Drosophila melanogaster: one gene and its partner. The gene in region 1 interacts genetically with each later gene. Each region holds a gene or a part of one and is shown on either strand. Other genes may lie near its edges. The genes, in order: Trxr1 and cathD.

Region 1 (6,918 bases):
GATTCGTTCGCTTTGGCTGCCTTCTTAAGGAGCGGCAGACACGCCTTGGCCAGCATGATGGGCACAACCGTGTTGGTCTGCAAGGTGTCGAGCAGCTCCTGCGATCGAACGGCCGTTATCCTGGCCGATTTGGGCGCTATGCCGGCATTGTTGAAGAGCACATTGAGGCCTTGGTCCTTGGTCACGCCCTCGATGTCGGCGACTAGCTTGTCATAGGCATCGAAATTTCTCAAATCTGCACGGAAAATATATTTATATGCGAGAGTGTTTAGCGGCTGGTAAAACATAATGCTTACCAATCTCAAGTATGTGTATGTTCGAGTGGTTCTTGGCTAGATCCTCCAGCTCCTGTGGGCCAAATTGGGAAAGACAAAATGTTTGAATAAGAAGCACATTATTAGTAAAAAAGCAGTTTATATATGAATAATTTTCCAGTTAAATTACTGTAATTTTTAGAGGCAAATTTGGTATTTCATGAGAGTTTAAATAGCGCGCCCAACGAGCGCGTTAGTGCCATAATAACCGATAGACGATAAGTGCTGCTGGTGTGACCGAACAATAGTCGGCCCAGCAATCGACAAGCCAATCGACGTCTCCCTTTCGCACGCTCGTACGAAAGTACAAAAGCTATTGCAAAAGTTGGCTCCGCTTATTCGTTTCGTGCTTTCGCGAGTGCCGAGAGCCGCTACAATACACGCTTAGCAGTTTTTACATTTCCGCTTCGACTACAACAACATTCACTACCCGCCGTTGATCCTTGTTTTCTGTCTGATTTACGTGGAGCACCTACCAACAAGCAACAAAATAATGGCGCCCGTGCAAGGTGAGTTTCACAGTTAATTCGATTCCAATTGAACCATTCAATTTATGCATGCCCATTTGGACGATTAAAAAGCGGTTTGTAGAAATAGTGGCTCTTGTGGATTGTTCGCGTAGCTTCTGTAGTTTCTGTAGCTCGACGGTTGTGAGTCACCGGTTTTGTTGGATTACTGGATTGTCTTAGTAGAGAGACAACGCAAAATAAGAAGAAAACATCTCTCACCTTTGCCTGCTCGCGATTCCGGCAGGTGGTAAATAGATGCTGCGGCGGCTGGGGAAGATTGAGCAGCGCCTTGACCAGGCCCAGACCCAATCCTCGATTGCAGCCGGTTATCAGGATGGAGTTCATGTTTTTTTTTTCCGAAGATCCGCGATCGAGTTGCTCGAAATCTTATCGCGTCGTACTTGAGATAAAACCAATAAAGGGCGGCACTACTATACGGGTTCCGTGTGTTCTGTGGATTTCACCAGACCCGCAGCCAGATCTTTCCGTGCTTATCAATCGACTTTATTGCCGTAACACAAGCGTGAAAATAGTGAAATGTTAGGAAAAATTTTGACGGCCGGCTGTTTCGTTCGGACAGCAGCAGTGTTACCAACCATCCGCGAGTTATCGATACACTTGCGCATTGCCAAACGTGCGTTTCGCACATTTCCAATTGGCAAAGGGCAGAACAACTGTTGTGATGTTCAAATCCCAAATGGAATTTCGCAATCCAATGGATGCTCCTTTATGGCAAATCCATTTTATCCCAAACATTCTCGTTTTTGCGGTACGCGCTCTTGCGCCCTCTCTCTTTCTCGCTGCTTCTGTTACGTAGCCGTTTATCGGCGCCTCTGCCTGCCCACCGCTTTCGCAGCATTCCCGGCCGAACCAGCGAACGTGTTTGTGTTGTGTGTTCCGCCGTCATTTTTCTGCACCCTTTTCGCGAATAGTTTCGTTTCGCCTCCAGCTGGTAGAGTGAAACGCCAAACGTTGAAGAAGGGGAAAGGCCAACAAGATGAACTTGTGCAATTCGAGATTCTCCGTTACGTTCGTGCGGCAGTGCTCGACGATTTTAACGTCTCCTTCGGCTGGCATTATACAAAACAGAGGCTCACTGACAACAAAGGTTCCCCATTGGATTTCCAGTAGTCTCAGCTGTGCCCATCACACGTTTCAGCGAACTATGAACTTGACGGGACAGCGAGGATCACGCGACAGTACTGGAGCTACCGGTGGGAATGCTCCAGCCGGATCCGGTGCCGGCGCACCACCACCCTTCCAGCATCCACATTGCGACAGGGCGGCCATGTACGCGCAACCGGTGCGAAAGATGAGCACCAAAGGAGGTGAGCATCGATATCGATTGATATTCTGATTAGATCTTTGCTGTTGCCGCCGCAGCTGCTGCTCCTGTTGCCGCCGGTTGGCAACGCGGTCGATTGTCGCGGTTTTCTTGCTTGTTGTTTTTTCTGGGTCTTCTTGTGTTTAACCGACGCCATTATGCAATAACCGTTAGTTGCCTGGCCAAAAAGTCCATTACTCTGCTCTTATTACCTGGCTTATCGGGTTTCTGCGGCACGTATTCGCCAAGGGTTTATATGCCTGCCCGGCATTTGCTGTCTCACATTTGCACCGTCATCGTCAATCGTCATCGCGCACCCGCTCCAACTGGAATTGTACAGTCGGGGTCGCGCGAACAGCACTCGAAACTCGTATCATGCTGAAGTACATGATTTGCGCCATCGTTGTGGGCGCCAAAAAGAGCACATCCTCTAAGTATAATGGTCAACAAAGTTCTGAATCGCGTATAAATACTATGTCAGTCGAATTTTTTTAATTGAATTATGGATTGCTCATAAAACCATTACTCAATTGCAGCTTAAACAATATCAGTTATTTGCCTCAAAAAAGAATTACATCATATGACTTAACGAATTAATAATATTTGTTAAATTACATTCATACAAGTCACTTGTATTGCCATTTTGCCTTTAGCTGGTAAAAAAAAACTAATATCTATTTATATGAAGTTAAACGTATTTGATGTTTTAATTTGTAATATAATATAAATCCCACATGCCACGATCAAGTTTTCTTGTTAAATGAATAATTAGCCAATCGAGCAGATACGAAGCTTCTAATTCCGAAAACAATAGAAGAATTTACTTATAAATATATGCCATATTCTGATTTCAAATGGTAATTAAGGGTATAATAGGATTTCTTAAAGCACCAACGTGATATGTGTGATTTTTGTCGAATGCGGTGCTCTTGAACGAATAACCCTTTGCGGAATGTTCGAGAATCGCTTTATGATGATGATGATGATGATTTCACCATATCAGTCGGGTGCATTTATTCCCTTTATCTGTGTTTTCTATTTCGTATCTCTCGTATCCGTCGCTCAACGAGCGCCCGCCATCGTCTTTGATCTTTCATCATCATTGCTGAGCTGCGTCATCACCACTTCATTCCGCAATTAATTGCAGTGTGACGACAACAATTGTTTATTTGCACTCGCATTCGTACGTAGCCACCTGATTTCCCCCTGTTCCTGGCCAGGATTAGCATTCCGTCCGATAAAAGCGAATTGTGTGTGGTGTTGCCAACTAGTTTTGGGGCGTAACCATGACAAAGTCCGGCGGGTCAAAGCAAACCGAATGGGGGGGCGTAGGTGGACGGACGGAAGAAAGGCGTGGCCGGGCTGGGATGGGCGTGGCTTGGTGTGTGGCGATGTCGCTAGATGATTGCTCCACTTTGATTCGAACTCCCACTGACCCAGTGGCATGTGTGGCATTCGGCAGCACTATCGCTACCTGGCAACTGAAGCCAAGGAGCTCGACGGGATTGCACGGTGCAGATTACGGATTGCAGGAGGCCAAACAGTCTTCGTTCCGCACTTCTTTGGTCTGGATGCATCTGTTCGAATTCATACCGGCTTCCCAGTTGGTCGAGGGTGAACCACGCCACCGGAGGAGCATCTACCGATCCGCCTATCTGGACATACGACTGCGCGAGGAGTCCACCAAAGGCAGGCGGGGATTAGCCATAATCATGAGTGAAGCTAAAGAGAAACTTGAGTAGTTGGCACCACATGGCTAATTGATATCATTACCTATCACTGATAAGGATTTTCAACTAATCTAGATACTGGTTAAGAACAAAAACAGACCATGCCAATACAACATGGCTATTGATGTTACTAACGGTGATAAGTTTTTAATAATACAAGGTGAATTGGCTGTGCTACGATTAGATTTCCTGACGGCTCCTCATGTTCTGTGACCTCTTGACCTCTTTAAGCCCAATTTTGGCAGTAGATTACATATTTCTATAGACAAAAGGCGATGAATCAAACGAAAACCTTTTTTCTCCTGCAGGATCCTACGACTACGACCTTATTGTGATTGGAGGCGGCTCAGCTGGCCTGGCCTGCGCCAAGGAGGCAGTCCTCAATGGAGCCCGTGTGGCCTGTCTGGATTTCGTTAAGCCCACGCCCACTCTGGGCACCAAGTGGGGCGTTGGCGGCACCTGCGTGAACGTGGGCTGCATTCCCAAGAAGCTGATGCACCAGGCCTCCCTTCTGGGCGAGGCTGTCCATGAGGCGGCCGCCTACGGCTGGAACGTGGACGAAAAGATCAAGCCAGACTGGCACAAGCTGGTGCAGTCCGTACAGAACCACATCAAGTCCGTCAACTGGGTGACCCGTGTGGATCTGCGCGACAAGTAAGTGTGACTATATCTATGGCTTCCGCTCGAGCATCCCCACTAATTATACCCTTCTATTTGCGCTCAGGAAAGTGGAGTACATCAATGGACTGGGCTCCTTCGTGGACTCGCACACACTGCTGGCCAAGCTGAAGAGCGGCGAGCGCACAATCACCGCCCAGACCTTCGTCATTGCCGTTGGCGGCCGACCACGTTATCCGGATATTCCCGGTGCTGTCGAGTATGGCATCACCAGCGATGATCTGTTCAGTTTGGACCGCGAGCCCGGCAAGACCCTGGTGGTGGGAGCTGGCTGTAAGTAGCTACTTTCATTTGCTTACATCAAATTGATGAATAACCCATTCGGTTTCTGCTCTTTCACTCAGACATTGGCTTGGAGTGCGCTGGATTCCTGAAGGGTCTCGGCTACGAGCCCACTGTGATGGTGCGTTCTATTGTGCTGCGTGGCTTCGACCAGCAGATGGCCGAGCTGGTGGCAGCCTCGATGGAGGAGCGTGGCATTCCCTTCCTCCGCAAGACGGTGCCGCTGTCCGTGGAAAAGCAGGATGATGGCAAGCTGCTCGTGAAGTACAAGAACGTGGAGACCGGCGAGGAGGCCGAGGATGTTTACGACACCGTTCTGTGGGCCATCGGCCGCAAGGGTCTGGTGGACGATCTGAACCTGCCCAATGCCGGCGTGACTGTGCAGAAGGACAAGATTCCAGTGGACTCCCAGGAGGCTACCAATGTGGCAAACATCTACGCTGTCGGCGATATCATCTATGGCAAGCCAGAGCTGACGCCCGTCGCCGTTTTGGCTGGCCGTTTGCTGGCCCGCCGCCTGTACGGAGGATCTACCCAGCGCATGGACTACAAGGATGTGGCCACCACCGTTTTCACGCCCCTGGAGTACGCCTGCGTCGGCCTGAGCGAGGAGGATGCCGTCAAGCAGTTCGGAGCCGATGAGATCGAGGTGTTCCACGGCTACTACAAGCCCACGGAGTTCTTCATTCCCCAGAAGAGCGTGCGCTACTGCTACTTGAAGGCTGTGGCCGAGCGCCATGGTGACCAGCGCGTCTATGGACTGCACTATATTGGCCCGGTGGCCGGTGAGGTTATCCAGGGATTCGCTGCCGCTTTGAAGTCTGGCCTGACTATTAACACGCTGATCAACACCGTGGGCATCCATCCCACTACCGCCGAAGAATTCACCCGGCTGGCCATCACCAAGCGCTCCGGACTGGACCCCACGCCGGCCAGCTGCTGCAGCTAAAGCGGGAACGCAGCTCAGCCGCCTGGGACGTGTCGAAGCCGCTTGCTCCACCCGAAATCCCGTAGATGAATGGTTGTTGTCGCGGCCCAGCGATCGATGAGTTCAATAGTTCCGTTTCGTTTCCACAATTAACACCCAACACAATAGCTCTGCGCAAGGGAGGGGCACTGGGCAGCGATGGCGGGTGGAACGACACCAGTGGAACTACCCGCGCGACCAGCCCAACCCACGACTGCTGCGCCGCCGACATGCACTCAAAATTTTGAATTTGTTTGAACCTATGAAATTAACTATGAAATCCCCTAAATGTACGGTTGAAGAATATAATTTTTCACCAACAAACCCCTCTGTGTTTCAGTTCTGTGCATTTCCTTTAAAACATACCTCGACCTTTAGCCCTTCCTCTGCCTTTTCAATCAAGTAAGTTCATTAGCCATGCAAATGGCTTGACTTGACCTGGCTAAATCGATTCTGTCTGCCAGCCTGACAACTTGTTAGCCACCCGACTAATTGCTAATGCCATTGCTAGGGGAATCTTTGCCCTCGAGGGCTATAAATCAGCTACGAACGATGGCACCCTGGAGATACATATATCAGTGGGTAATAAATTATACTTTAGTTTTCAAAGGAAAAACAGTGCGTGATAAAGTGTAATAGAAGCTACGAAAAGGTTGAAGTTTATGACCTAAGGAATCCTCGCAAGCAAATCAAAATCAAATTAAGACAGTAAATTGATGCAATCAATTAATGAACAGCAAAGAGAATTCAATAGCTTCTATAAGGAATTAGCATTAATCATATATGTATGTATGGAACACTTTCGAGGTGGTATCTCCGATTGGATGCCACGAAACAAAGCGAGATGGCTATACTATGAACCAAGCGACTTGGAATAGCCCAATATACCCATAGTGAAACCCAACCCATTGATAAGTCGCTGTTGTGATATTTTTTCTATTACATTTTTATTTTGGTTTTCCTATTTTTCGTATTGAATAACTCCTTTGTTTTGAACAACGTAAGACTTTTTCATTTACAACTGACGCAGCGCTGGCGCCTCTGCAGCCGCCGATCGTGCTCCTCATCCCGCTACTGCGCTGGCTCTTCCCGCGGCTCGTCCTGGTGTCTTTGT
Region 2 (5,627 bases), on another chromosome or scaffold:
CTTGGTTTGTCAAAAAGCCAAATACGACCGCCATCCGCAAAAGCAAATCCTCGGGAGAACACCTATTCCGTCACATGTAGGCGAGACATTGCATATTGATATATTTTCTACGGACAGGAATTACTTTTTGACATGTATTGACAAATTTTCCAAATTCGCTATTGTGCAACCAATCGGCTCTCGAACGATAACTGATTTAGAACCTGCAATTATGCAACTAATGAACTTTTTTCCCCATTCAAAGACAATATTTTGTGACAATGAACCGTCCATAAATTCCGAGTCAATCAAGTCACTTTTGAAAAATCGTTTTAATGTTGACATAGCGAACGCACCTCCACTTCATAGTACCTCAAACGGACAGGTTGAAAGGTTTCACAGCACGCTTTTAGAAATAGCTCGATGCCTGAAACTTGACAGTGGAATGAATGATACAGTCAACCTTATTCTTCAGGCAACAATAGAATACAATAAGACGGTGCACTCAGTCACCAATAGAAGACCGATCGACATTATTCATTCAACTCCTCCCGAATTGGCTAACGAGATAGTAGAAATGGTTAACGAAGCTCAGGAAAAACAGCTAAGAAGAGAAAATGTAACAAGACGAGACAGAACCTTTGAGGTGGGAGAAACCGTCATGGTAAAACAAAACAATCGCTTGGGAAATAAACTAACCCCACGGTATAGGGAAGAACTAATCGAAGCAGACCTCGGGACAACGGTCCTCATAAAAGGGAGGGTCGTTCATAAAGATAATCTACGCTAGGTTTAGTATTTCTTTTCCTTTTGTGACCATCGCCAAGTTAGCAAAATACAAACGTGAAATCTGAACACTAGTAAAAGAGTTTGCAAACATTTTTCAATTAAATATTTGTCAAATCCTTCTTATTTAATCTTTAAACATTTTGTATTATTTCCGCTTCATCCTCTTTAGAAAATTTTAAAGGTATGTGATGAAATGCTAGACCCGAATGATTTGAAAACTTAAAGTCCACGCAACCACAAATATTTCCTGAAACTACCATAGAAAATAAATGCATTACCAAAACGGCATAATAACAGTATAGCGCACTCACTCTAATTAGATTTCAAATTCCCGATTAAAAAAAAATAAAACACTAATGTTATCAATACCCTTTCCTGATTCTGTTCAACTAAATAGGAAAATCAATACTTGCAATCAATAAGCGTTTTACTACATACTTTAATATCAAAAATATCTGAATGAACTTTATTATAAAATTATAATTGTTATACTTAATTATTGTCAAAACTTTAGTATTAAAACTGTAACTACCTCTTAAGTAGATGAGAAGAGTAGAAGAGGGAATTAAGATCTATCAACGTAGTATCTGCTAAAGACGTAAAGATGCGGCAACTATTTCTGCGCCTGGGTACTGAAACGACGAACTGAATAATATCTGCCATCAGACGCCAACCAGAGTGCGTTCAACACATACGTTTTGATGGTCAACTAGTTCAACCAACATCAGCATCATCGTCGTCAACAAGTCGACGGTTACAATAAAGATTTTTTCCAAGTTCGCTACGATCATCTCCAGAACCTTGTTGCGAACCCATGACATGGAGAATCAGCAGCATTTACGAACTTCTCGGATCATCCAGACACGCAGAGCTGCCTTCCCTTCGATGGTTTAACGCAGTACCAGGTTGGCAGTATGGGAACTTAGTGCACAACCAATGTTACCCGTAAGATCCGCTTTCAAATAGATTTGCCAATTGTAAAAAGTCTGTGGACAGCCTTCGTCTTAGAAGGGGAGGAGTTAACACAATCACAAAACACCCGAAATATAGTCGTAAGCCTCAAGTGCTTTTCCCATCTATAGATCGAGCTTTACCTATAAGAAACTGTAACTTGTTAAGCTTTAGAGATAAGAACTCTTGCTATACTTAAGTTAGTCGATTTTGGAAGATTAGAAGCGTCGGTCATCGCCACGTACTTACTATTCGTCTCATTAAGTGCAGACCGCGCAAGCCCTATTGTAATTAATAAACTTACGCTAATAAATATATGGAAAATCTACTAAAATGATAATTTATATATTATTCTTCGGAGAAACCCGCAATGGGATCGATCGATAATGTTTACAATTTAAATTTTAAGTATACTTTTCTTTGTTCGATTATTTGGCATCGGCGAAGCCCACACGATCGTTGCCCATGTCAAACTCGGTGTAGTATTTGCCAATGAAAACGTCACCGAGGATCCACAAGGGTCCGTTTGGAGGGGGGATGTCCAAGCCCATAAAGCCGGACAGACAGATGGTCTTACCCATCTGGGCCACACGGAGAATATAGTCCTTGCCCTCGAGCTCGAAGGTCTTTCCGCCCAGCACAAACTTGATTACCGGCAATTGGGGAATGAGATCGCAAGAAACCACATACTAAAGTAAGAAATTAAGAGGATTAGCAGTGCTTCATGTGAGAACTTAGAGCATGGTACTCACCTGACCACCGATGATGGGAGTTCCACCAATCTTCTGGTTAATAGAGGTGGCCTCTTCCAAGGGCGCAGCAATTAGTGAGGTACCGGTGTCAGCGATCACCTGGCAACCGCCCTTGCACAGCTGCAAATCGCCAATGGAGGCGGCATCCATCTTGATTTGCCAGTAGGCCTTGCGGGTAACGGGCAAGTAGGTGAATTCACCAGTGTAGTGGTTGGGATCGGAGCCGCCAAAGATGATCTCACCGCCCTCGGGCGAGGCGGGATCGCGATTCAGGTAGAATGAGAACACCGGAGCGGAGATCAAACCCTGTTCGTACATGGCGTAAAATGGCGGCTTCACCTTGTCCACCGAGATGGAGTTGTAGCCCAGGCCTAGGATGCCGTCGAACTTGGCAGCTACGAAGACCAGGCCCGGCTCACTGAGCGCCTCAGCGAATGTCTGATCCTTGATGTCCAGGCCGGCAATGGACACCGTATCCGTGGACAGGTATCCGGACAAGCTGCCCGAGCCATACTGGATGGCGAACTCAGTGCCGTTCTTGGTGTAGGTCTTCGACTTGGAGGCATCGTACTTGTTGTGCATCAAACAGGCGATGTTGGTCAGGTGGCACTTCTTGGACGGCACCCACAAGTTCGAGGAGCCGGTGTCGAAAACCACACGGAAGTTCTGCGGTGGCGAGCCAATGGCAATGGGCCCATAGTACTGCGCGTCCATATAGTTGGACAGCGGTTCCGGCACATCACCTCCGCCGTACCTAATGCGCAATTGCTGCAGCTCCGTGCCCACATCCGCAAAGTGCCGGCGGGCCGACTGAAATTTGTGGAGCGGTACGCGCAGCAATCCGGGCTTCTCCTGCGAATTTGGGTGGGCCACGGCCGCAGCCAGGAAGGCGACTAGAAGCAGTGCAACCTTCTGCATTTTGATTTCTATGTTACGCTTCTCTGGTGGCTAAAACTGCAATGATCGCTGCAGTTAATTAAATATTGCGGCACAGCGAAAATGATTCAGCACAGATAATGTACTAAATTTGGCTTGGCGCGTCGTTTTGATTAGAGAGATTCGATAGTTTTTGTTGTAAACTAATGCAATTCTTTAATTTTCGGAATGTTTCTTTTTAATATTTCGCGTTTATGTATATATAATACAAATGTATCATTATTTCTACACATTTAGGAAGAGCTTGTATCATGACTACGATCTTACTTTAGAGACAATAAGGGAAAGCTAAAAAAGTATTTCCCATCTTTCATTTTTAAACGCTTTTATGAGCAAACAATTAACAATTATGATGAGCAACCTTAATGTATTAATTGATAATATAGATAACAATCGTAAGGAGCGGGTCGAAGCTGAATTTCGAATCTTTACTTGTATATATAAATTCTAATAAATTCATGATAACATGGAATTATATATTAAAATATGAATAGTAAGTTGTATTTTGAGCTTAAATGGTTCAAAAATATTACAAAAATAGTCTTCTTATAGTCACCTAAAATCCAGAGAAATAATTTTATACTATTGATTAAAATGAAATAAAAGTATTAAATATAGATAAAAGATATAGCTAATCCTTTCTAGTACTTTTTACAATCACTTATTACTCGACAAAGTTTGGATTTGACCTTAGCACAGACATCCAAATCGGAGATTAGGTCATCAATGTTCGTTCGGAACGGAGTAACTCTAGCAGTATCCTCGAATGACTGTTTGGCGCGCCGCATTCTTTCGTGAATCTCACTCATATCGAGCATCTTTCCAATAGAAAGCTCATGGTTGGTGGACAACAGTACCGAGAACAGAACGGCGGACTCCATGGAGACTTTGCTTCGATACCCAACGCAGGTTTTCTGCTCCATTTCATCGCTTTCCATGAGCACGGTTTGGCATCTTTTCAGGGAATCGCCTTTCTATAAAAATCGAGCAAAAATTAATATCATACTATTGGATTAAGAGAGTAAGAGATATAAGATTATAATGTGATGTGTAAGTGCCCGGATAACTGCATAAGGATAGATTAAATTAAATTAAAAAAAGGGTACTTATTGTTTATTAACGAAAGCAATTTTAAGTAAATACATTCATATTTATGCATGTACATAGTAAATTGGCATCAAAATTATTCGCCGACAGATATGCTTACCTTAATCTTCTTGATATCTTCAGGTTGGATAAAATGTTTCTGGCGCTGGACTACAAATCGAGCTGCAAGGTCACAATCCGGAGTGTACTGGTAGCCTTGGGCAACGCGCCTGAAGAATGGATGCAGATCCAGAAGCTTAAGGCGTTTTTGGGCCATCTCCGAAAGCTGATAGGTGTCCAGTTGGGGCAGAACTTCGGTTAGGAATAAATGGCACACTTCCTTGGCAGTGAGATCCCTGAAAGCCTCGTTCCTGGTGTTCCACTCCTTCCAGGCTGAAGCATCCTGGATGTAAAACAGACGGCACGACGCAACAGCGTAGTCGATCAACTCCCTGTGGATCGATTGTTCAGCATCGTGCAAAAGCGTAGATCGAGCAATACGGCCGATATTGGCATTAAATTCCGCTTCGTCCACAGTTTCGTCCATTTTCATTCCCAATATAAAACATTTTATTATAAAACAGTAAAGAATCGGTTTAATTTCAACGTGCGCTTTCAGATCTGCACTCTTTTTGTAATCGATAACTGCTGTGTATCGTATGCGGCACTGAGACTATTGAAATCTTAGGGAATGTTTAGGAAATAGGAACATCTGGAGTTAAATGTATTTCAAAACCGAAAGCCACAACTTTCCTTAAAATATTATGCCAAAAAAAAATCTACTAATATAAATTTAAACATAATACTTAATTCTTTATTTATGTTAATTCATAATAATTTCTCTTCCAAGGGAAGTGTATTTGGAGTGCGGCTACTAGCATAATTTTCACTCTCATTGAACAGCTGATAGAGTCGCCATATCGTTATACAGTTATGTTTACACTTGCTTCATATTGGCGCGAATCATTCAAGATTGTGGGTTAAATCGAATTAGTAAAAATCAAATCACGATTTTTCATTCATGTTCAGGTTCTTCCGCTGCAGGCGATGAAGCGTACGAAGGCGCAGAAGGCAGGTCCTTCCAAAAAGGCAGCAAAAAACGAGAAGGCCAGCTCCGAGCCCAAAAGTGACCAG

Evidence for each region.
Region 2: of Trxr1 (region 1) and cathD, changing one enhances a phenotype caused by changing the other (phenotypic enhancement), as found in Drosophila melanogaster (one study listed by BioGRID).

Annotation. Positions count from the first base shown.
Region 1 is NC_004354.4:8,241,909-8,248,826, forward strand, and holds Trxr1 (thioredoxin reductase 1), read left to right. Parts: upstream 1-1,673; 5' UTR 1,674-1,820; coding exon 1,821-2,151; intron 2,152-2,280; exon of another isoform or gene 2,281-2,522; coding exon of another isoform or gene 2,523-2,589; intron 2,590-3,479; exon of another isoform or gene 3,480-3,718; coding exon of another isoform or gene 3,719-3,836; intron 3,837-4,185; coding exon 4,186-4,531; intron 4,532-4,601; coding exon 4,602-4,828; intron 4,829-4,899; coding exon 4,900-5,786; 3' UTR 5,787-6,125; downstream 6,126-6,918. Other genes in the region: sni (sniffer), read right to left, coding at 1-235, 297-348, 1,043-1,168. UniProt on the Drosophila melanogaster protein: Thioredoxin system is a major player in glutathione metabolism, due to the demonstrated absence of a glutathione reductase.
Region 2 is NT_033778.4:7,820,078-7,825,704, forward strand, and holds the start of cathD (cathepsin D), read right to left. Parts: upstream 3,493-5,627; 5' UTR 3,390-3,492; coding exon 2,472-3,389; intron 2,409-2,471; coding exon 2,148-2,408; 3' UTR 2,034-2,147; intron 1-2,033. Other genes in the region: CG30383 (uncharacterized protein), read right to left, coding at 4,049-4,381, 4,615-5,046; phr (photorepair), read left to right, coding at 5,427-5,468, 5,523-5,627.